2 linked regions of the Drosophila melanogaster genome follow. The gene in region 2 interacts genetically with the main gene of each other region. Each region holds a gene or a part of one and is shown on either strand. Other genes may lie near its edges.

Region 1 (4,217 bases), on a different chromosome or scaffold from region 2:
ATTGAAAAATACAATTTATTATAAATTGTTGTTTTTAGTGCCCAACTAGAATTGGGTTAGACAAAGCGACGATTGAGGCGGAATTCTTTAACAGGTTGTTTTGCGATTTATAGTTCAATTCACAAAAGGTCACTTAGTGAACTGATTTTTTGTCCTTAAAATCATATTGGTCATCTTATGTGTAGGCCAGCTTTTCAGAATTTGAATATCTAGTTTTATCCCACATACTGGTGGGTGTTAATATTTCTATTTCTATGTGGATATTTTAAGAGTGTTCCCTAGTAGCTAAATGATATACATCTGAGACTTTTAATTAATTAATTGCTGATTTCATGGTTTTAGTACAGAAAACCATGTGCTAAGATGTTTTTAAGCAACATCCTGAATCTATAACAATTGCGTTAAACTTTTTCATTCTGTTAAGAAGCTTTAAAGTTGAAATATTTTGAGCTCGATGCAACCAAATAATTCCTTAAATTTTGGAGGCACCGGATAAAAACATTTTGATCAACTTTTGTGTGTGAAAAATTAATTATCACCACGTGGCAACACTGTCAACGTGCTTTGATGCCATTTTTTCCCACTCGTTTTTGCCCAGAACTCCCCTCTTTTTTGTATGTTTTGTGGATGTCCAAACATTTTTTATGCTGTTTTGTTGTGTTTCTGTACTTTTTTTTTTTGCTTTTTGGAATACGCAACGGACAGACACACACATAGGGCCACACACGTATTTGAACACACACAGTCAGAGGCGAATCAGAAAAAGTACAAAAAAGCATTTTGGGAAAAGTGGAGTGAGGAGTGAGGCAGGGGATTGCATGGGCTTATTGCGATGCGTGACTCGTATTTGTGGACTTTGAATACAAACAAAACAGTCGGACACAGATAGAAGCCCACACAAGTGCAATTATGAATACTACGCCCACACACACGCCGCATAATCACAGAGAGAGACACTCTCACTCACTGCAATGTGTGCATTTCAATACGCATTAATAACTACGAATTCAATGTGGCAGTGGCAACCATCCTTAGTATTTCAGCCCAAAGCTCACACACACCTAAACCCACACCCTCAAATGCTCACGCACACATAGGCACACCGGCGTCAATGCAGCTGACGCCTAAAAAACGACTACAAAAAAGCATAAAAATCCAATTCCCCGCCTTGCTCGTTAATTTTGCTGGCGCTGCTCTTCAATTCACAGCCCAAAACTGAAAAGTGCCATGATAATTTTGTTTTTACTCTATCCAAACTTTAAAATCGCATAAAAATCAATGCCAATGATGCCATTAAATCAACAGACAGATCCATGTTTCGTTTTCCACAAAAGTTCCAAGCTCGAAGTCCCTTTAAATTCTAATTTTTGTGTTTTTTTAGCAGCACGTTTACTCAACATTTTCGCTTTCTGACGTTCCGGCCTCACATGAACTGCAGCATTTTTTCGTGCTACATTTTTGCTGGTTGCATTCTATGTCTGGTGGCCGCAAAACGGTTTTCCATGAATTTTTCATCCATTTAGCGGCGCCATTGAGCCATTTTCTGGGCGCTTAGAATTCATAGATACTTTAGCAAATTGTTTTTTTAGTTCGATTTTCTACATTCTTTTTGTTTTTAGGGATTTTTAGCTTTTGTATCGTGACATTGAATCTCGGTGTGATTGATTGTCTTTAACGATTTAATTGAATCGAAAATATAAAAAGATCACCACTGACTTGTTTATATGAAGAAGACAGGGCAAATATCTGTTATTGTTAGGCACAAAAAATGTTTATAATAATTTGATTCACTTTTTTTTTGTATTGAAAACAGCATTTTTGATATTTCTTAGTAACACCTTAGTCGCCCATTAAATTTCTGCGGAGCACCCTAGATGTGTGTATGAATTATCCAGAAATATTTACAAATGTACGACCCACAGTAGGCACTCTCTATGGGTGATCGAATTTTTGTGCTGCCAGAACTATTTAAGCTATCAGCTTTCACCCGATTCCAAATAAACCGTAAGAGTAAATAAACATTTCGGTCGAGTATTCGGAGAAGCGAGCCGATAACTTCTGCGTAGCTGACTCAAGCCGAAGTGGCCTCTCTTCGGAAATTGCCAACTGACCAGAACAGCTGAATCAATTCGCCAACTTTATGATTAGTGGCTCTGGGAGTCGGACGCCCTCAAATCGACTTTATTTGTCGCCCGTTCGCCCCACGATGCAGAACAAACGGAGGCTTCTGCGGGAGTACAGGTCCTACGATGACCTCAGCGAGCACTACCGCATGTTTGGATCGCAGTCCCTGGACTCGCTGCAGGATCGCGTGGACATGAATCCCAGTGGCTGCGATGGCTTATCCACGGACGGACTCGACTTCTGCTCGCAGTCCCACTCGGGGCTGCTGAGGGAGCACAATTTCAAGATTAAGTCCTACTACTACAACGTGGGGAACTGCGTACACTGCCGCAAAAGGTGAGTTGCAATCACCGAATGGTGGAACTTCTGAGAGGATTTCGAATTCAGGGAAAACATGAAAAGTTAAATAACATCCCAACCCTCTCTGACCAGCATTTACCTCCCTAACCGCGTGTCCCTGGTCTTCTTCCAGGATCCGCTTCGCCATGGCCAGCCTGAGGTGTCGGGCGTGTCCGCTCCGCTGCCACATCGGTTGCTGCCGCCAGCTGACGGTGAACTGCATCCCCCAGCCTCAAATCGGTACGAAGAGAGGATGTCTCAGCGATTATGCGCCTCGGGTGGCGCCCATGGTGCCGGCCTTAATTGTCCATTGTGTAACGGAGATCGAGGCGCGGGGATTGCAGCAGGAGGGACTCTACCGGGTGTCCTCCACCCGAGAGAAATGCAAACGACTGCGTCGGAAGCTGCTGCGTGGCAAGTCCACGCCGCATTTGGGCAATAAAGACACCCACACACTGTGCTGTTGTGTTAAGGACTTTCTTCGGCAGTTGGTTCACCCTCTGATTCCCATTTACCACCGAAGGGATTTCGAGGAGGCCACGCGGCACGAAGATCGTCTGGCTGTGGAGATGGCGGTATATTTAGCGGTTCTGGAGCTGCATCAGGCTCACAGGGATACGTTGGCCTACTTAATGCTTCACTGGCAGAAAATTGCCGAAAGTCCTGCTGTCCGCATGACGGTCAACAATCTTGCCGTGATCTTCGCTCCAACTCTGTTCGGAGATCTGGATCTAACCCTCGAAAATGTCGTCACTTGGCAGCGGGTGCTGAAGGTGCTACTTCTGATGCCTGCCGGATTTTGGTCTCAGTTCTTGGAGGTCCATCCCCTTCCCACTTCGTTGGGCAGCACCTATGACTTTGAGGACCGGTACAATCACCGTCACTGGGACAGCTCGTCCAATCTGGGATGGTCTTCTGTTAAGACCTACTTTAGATCAATGGTAAGACCTATGGTTTCCCTTTAACGGATTTGGATAGAATTTCATATTCGAATAAGCCAAACTCAATACAAGCAATCAAACATATCATACAAATCTTTCACTGAATACTTCCTGTTTCAGGTCAACCTTAGCAGTACTCACCTATAGTGAAAGTCTTATGACTGAGACATCGAGAATGGATGCAGTCACCCTTTTTTATTTTATTTTGTATTTTTTTTCATTATTCACTACAGTTGAAGAACTAATAATAATTGGATCTCTAACATGTTGTGTATGTGTTGTTGAATTATATGCGGCTAACAAGAGTACTTGACATCTCAAGTGCAATACTTGATTTATTGAATCACCAAAAGATACTCTCAGAAAACACCCATTATTTCCATATATGAAATTCGGCTAATTAAATATAAAGCCAGGCCAAAATCTTATTCGCACCACATAAATAATCTAGCATGGCCCAGAGCGACGTTATCGCAAAACTATATATTTCGAGTATTGAAACATTAATAAACATTTTTAATTGAATTTGCAATTTTTTTCGCCGAACGTTGATTAATTCCCAACCGTTGAAAACATGTAAAAAATTAATAATTTCCATTTCCCATATTTATGTTTCTTTGAAGCGTAAACCAAAGCACAAAGTAAAATATTTTGCCGCGAACACATATAAATAAGTTAAAGCGCCAAGAAAAAAGTTAGCATTTTAAAAACAATTTGGAGAGTGCCGTGCAAAAAAGTGCGGCCATTAAATGCAAAAAACAAGCAAAGCAAAACAAAACTCGAATGCACTGGACGAGTGCATAAATAGACTCA
Region 2 (4,731 bases):
ATGTTTACTGTAATAATTCAGCCGTGCACAAATTTTGACCTGCTATAATAATGCGAACATCCATACAGCGGATCATCTGTGATTTGCAGATGGGGCATGTCTTGTTACGCTGCAAGTAATGTAGTATGCAATTCGCTCCAAAAAGGTGACCGCATTTAATTGAAACTGGGCGATGGTCTCCGGTAACCTCATAATTCCATTTGCAAATGTAGCACTTGTTCTCTTCGGCGATCTTCTTTCGTTTCATAGACAGGTTCTCCGCTTGATTCGCAATCGCGTCCTGCGCCGCTAGCCTCAGTCGCAACTCCTTCGTTATGTTCTTCTCCTTGTCCAGTTGCAGTCGCAGATCAATTAAACGCTTTTTGGACTCGAAACTATCCTTGATGATTTCGTCCTTTTCTTTGTTCCGTTTTCGCTGCTTAATGACCTCAACGATGAGTTTTTTCTTGGTCATCTTTGTAATATCTTGTTTATCCATCTCGTTTTCGATGTGAACGATTCGCAAATATTACAGTCGAGTTTTATTTTGAAATGGATTTTTTTTTTGACAGCTGTAAATATGTTGGCTGTGTTGGAAAATGCAACACACAACTAATTCTAATGATTACAAGAAAAAATAATTTTGTTCAATCTAGGCAGTCCACGCTTAAACCTTCACTGAGAAGACATTCGTTCTAAAAGTGCTTGTCTAAAAAATTCGTTCACCTTGTAATTTTAATTTCTTTACAATATGCCCAATAACAAAGCCCAGACTCGCTCGTTGATGAGGATGCTGAAGAAGGATGTTGTTGAGCAGCTCTTAGCGGAAAGGAAAAAAAGTGAGCAAAAGGACAAGCAACTGGCGAAGCTAAATATTACAACTCAAGAGAAGGATAAAATGCGCGAGGAGGAACTCAAGCTATATTACCAAATGGAAGAAGAGATAACCAATCAGAAATTATTGCAAGAGCAGTTGTTGTTCGAGTCCAAGGACGAATTAACACAGCAGCTTGAGAAGATTGCCATCGAAAATACTTGCTGCATATGCCTGGATCCTTGGGAAGCGAAGGATCATCACCGCTTGGTTTCGCTTAGATGTGGTCACCTTTTTGGGGAGATGTGCATCCGGACCCACTTGCAGCATGCCGATATGTGCCCAATATGCCGCAAAGTAGCTATTGAAAGAGACGTCTGGCGTGTGTTATTAAACACGCCATAAAATTATTTTCTATAAATACGATGTTCTAGCTATAATATAGTGCGTTGATAAGCGCGATCGATTTAATCGATAAACATAAATTTTAATACCTCGATTATATTTCCGACTATATTCCAATTTTTTCATATTTAGGAGGGGATACAATTGAATAATTACCAAATGGTTTGGGAAACATGCATTTGCAACAATAAATTAATATAAAAAAATTCATTTAAGGATATATTGAATTCTACAGCACTAACATTCCTTTCGCATTTAATTTATTAAAATAGATAAATATTTTGTTTACCCTATGATATCAAGTATTTTTCTTTCTATTTGTAGAACTGCATCCAATATAAATTCGGTTTTCTAAACGACGTTTAAGCCGTTTATTTACATGTTACAGAAGCTTATATATAAAAAGTGATTGATTTTTTGGTTCTAATAATTGCATTCCCCGTTGGTTCCTCCTTCATTCATTGAATTGGTTTCCAAATTGGACTGGTGATTCCACTTCCTGGTCGTAACTCTCCGCAAGCTGTTTGTAAGGTACTTCGAGGTATTTCTCCGACTTTGACGCCTTGATCTCGCCCTGCTTCTTGCTGCTGTCCAAATCTGAAGCGGCAGATTCATAAAGGCTGAAGGAACTGATTGAACTATTGGCAGTATGATACGAACTACTGGAACTGGAATTCTTCGTTCGGGGAATCTTGCGTGGTTTAAAAAATTCGGGGTCTGTGATGAGGGGAAATTGTTTCCGTCCGTTTCTTATAATTTTAATGGGTCCTTCTGGTGGTTTTACTTCGGGCAGAACGGGCAGCGAATCTGTTGCCATGGACATCATTCCGAAGTGACGCATCATGGCTAACGCCTCTAGCTCATTTGTGCTTTCATCCTCCCAATCTTTCATAGTGGCGTGCTCGCCCAGCGGCCTTGTGCCTGCTATCTTCTGTATGTTCTCCATTAGCTGAAGGCTTTGCCGAATATCACGACCAGTTCCGCCTCTGCTTCCATGGATATTTTCGAGCTCGGAATTCCTCTTTTCCCGGGACTTCAGATATTCATATGTGCATTTCGGTCGCGGCCAAAACTCCCCTTGCTTCTTCATGTCGTAGGCCAGTTGACCATGGACAAAATTGAAATCCGGCTCCATGTCGACCAGATCATCCTCGAACTGCGAATTGGGAACCCATGCCATGATCGTGCGTTGTCTTAGGCGAAATTTATTTGTTAATTTTCTGACATCAGACATAACCTAAAACTCACCTAACAAAAAATACTCCGAGAACTCGCCATGAAAACAATTGAACAGCTACACTGTCAACAAGTTCTCAGAATCTGAGACTGAATGTTTACTCCGTTATTTTCAAAGAATAGTTTCAGTGCGACCATTCACCATTGAGCACGGAAATGCCGTAAGAATTATTAAGGCTGTGGTGAATTTAAGTGCACCGGTGTGCGGTGAATCTTTTGCACACCGGTGCGTGGTCAAGGTGAATAATATTGCGCCAAAAAGTTAAACAAAAGGTTAAGGAAGGGGGAGCGGGGTGCAGCAAGCAAGTCATTAAATAAACAAAGGGTAATGCCCCACGAATCAGCATATATACATTCCTAATTTATGCACCACTATTCCAACTCACCAGCAGCGTCTTTTCCGGCCAGCGCGTTTTACTGTTGTTGCTACGTCTACACAAATTTGGGATTCTCGATTTGGATTATTAAACTTTTTTAATTCACTGCTTTGCAAGACACTATAACAGCGACCGTGCTCTTATTCACACTTGGAGTAACTGAAATGCAAAAAATTCCGCAAACGCTGCTAAAATATACTTTAGTTTGCGATAGGGCTGGAGCAAAACTGGATGCACAGTGCAAGCTATCGATTTCTCCAGTAAATCGCTGATATCGATGGTTATCCGTTTCGGATCCCAAGTATCGATCGTCGAAAATCACAAGGCACATAAATTTGTGATTTCAGTATTTAGCTGATTTTATTTGTATTTAGCTTAAAATCATTACAGTATTTAGCTGTTAATATTAAATACACTTTTTTAAATATGATTATTATCCGGTACTATAAATAGTCATATTTAAAATAATATATAATTATTGACTAATTGTTTTTAATTTTCATTGAATTTATTTTTTCTTCAATAATCGATCGTAGTGTAGACATTTTCAACACACAATTTATTGAATAACACAATTCCTAAAATATACTCGTTACTCGTAGAGTAAAAGGGTATACTAGATTCGTTGAAAAGTATGTAACATGCAGAAGAAAGCGTTTCCGACTATATAAAGTGTATATATTTATATATAAGTATATATTCTTGATCAGAATCAATAGCCGAGTCGATCTAGTCATGTCCGTCTGTCCGTATGAACGACGAGATATCAGAAACTTTAAAAGCTAGAAGGTTGAGATTTAGCATACATATTCTAGAGATAAAGACGCAGCGGAACCCATGTTGCGACGCCCACAAACCGCACAAAACTGACACGCCCATATTTAAAAAAAAAATTGTTGGATATTTTTCATAATTTTATTAGTCGCTTAAATTTCTATCGATTTGCCAAAAAACTTTTTGCCACGCCCATTCCAACGCCCTAAAGCCGCCAAACCGGTCACGCCCACACGTTTGAATTTTTTTTAAATTTTTTCACATTATACAATATTTATTAATATCCCAGAGGATTAAATTTCGCGTTCGCATTCACACTAGCTGAGTAACGGTTATATGATAGTCGGGGATCTCGACTATAGTATTCTTTCTTTTTTAAACTACTCCTATACTTGTTTTTGGGCTTAAATTAAAGGTTAATTAACTAGTTTTAAAGTACTTGGGATTTTCTTAATTCGTTTACTTTACACTTTAAATAGTAAACAACTTAATGGTATTCTTATACAAATACCAAAGGGATGATACATTTTTTATCATCAAGTTTGACTTAACGTGCCCTGTTTAGAGTACATGTCCTTGATTATCTGCATGCGAGTCATTCGAGTCGCGCACAGCCAGGAGTCCTTAATTTGAAATGCCTCGAACTGCTTGCGATCTTCCTTGAAGGGTTTGTAGTAAATGTCATAGATGATGCGCAGGATGCGTTGCACATTCTCCTGCGACGGCTTCTTTGAGTGCTTTGCAAATGTTTGGTTCTTTTGCATCTTTGTGTACTTGCCATCATCCCACCAATCTGGAAAATCTGTATCTGCATCGCCAGCTTTAAGGTCCTTCTTGAGTTCCGCTTTGGGACTTATGTGATGTACAGCCTTTAGTGATAAAAACATTGTTAGGAAAAGTTCGTTTTTTTCGTTTATAGTTCTTTCTTACATCCGGCGTACTCCAACTCCAAGCCAGATCGGTCAGCGATGATTGTTTTATTTTAACTGGTTCCTCTCCGCTCAGCATTGGCACAAGAAACTCATCCTGCTGATCTTCTTCGGCAAGGGACATGGCCAACTCATCGTCTAATTCGTCCATTTGCTGCTGGACAGAAATTGAAGTGCTCTTTATGGGCAGCTCCAATTTTGTTGGAGCTCCCGGCGG

The links. A genetic interaction does not mean that the proteins touch.
Region 1: of grp (region 2) and RacGAP84C, changing one enhances a phenotype caused by changing the other (phenotypic enhancement), as found in Drosophila melanogaster (one study listed by BioGRID).

The regions. Positions count from the first base shown.
Region 1 is NT_033777.3:7,283,965-7,288,181, forward strand, and holds RacGAP84C (Rac GTPase activating protein at 84C), read left to right. Parts: upstream 1-1,997; 5' UTR 1,998-2,140; coding exon 2,141-2,460; intron 2,461-2,596; coding exon 2,597-3,404; coding exon of another isoform or gene 3,405-3,428; exon of another isoform or gene 3,429-3,487; intron 3,488-3,524; coding exon 3,525-3,551; 3' UTR 3,552-3,665; downstream 3,666-4,217.
Region 2 is NT_033779.5:16,678,366-16,683,096, reverse strand, and holds the start of grp (grapes), read right to left. Parts: upstream 3,044-4,731; 5' UTR 2,821-3,043; intron 2,648-2,820; exon of another isoform or gene 2,447-2,647; intron 2,392-2,446; exon of another isoform or gene 2,379-2,391; coding exon of another isoform or gene 1,653-2,378; exon of another isoform or gene 1,444-1,652; intron 1,279-1,443; exon of another isoform or gene 1,199-1,278; coding exon of another isoform or gene 731-1,198; exon of another isoform or gene 695-730; intron 595-694; exon of another isoform or gene 479-594; coding exon of another isoform or gene 5-478; exon of another isoform or gene 1-4. Other genes in the region: CG33552 (uncharacterized protein), read right to left, coding at 5-478; CG31807 (uncharacterized protein), read left to right, coding at 731-1,198; squ (squash), read right to left, coding at 1,653-2,378; her (hermaphrodite), read right to left, coding at 4,122-4,454, 4,516-4,731. UniProt on the Drosophila melanogaster protein: Serine/threonine-protein kinase which is required for checkpoint-mediated cell cycle arrest and activation of DNA repair in response to the presence of DNA damage or unreplicated DNA.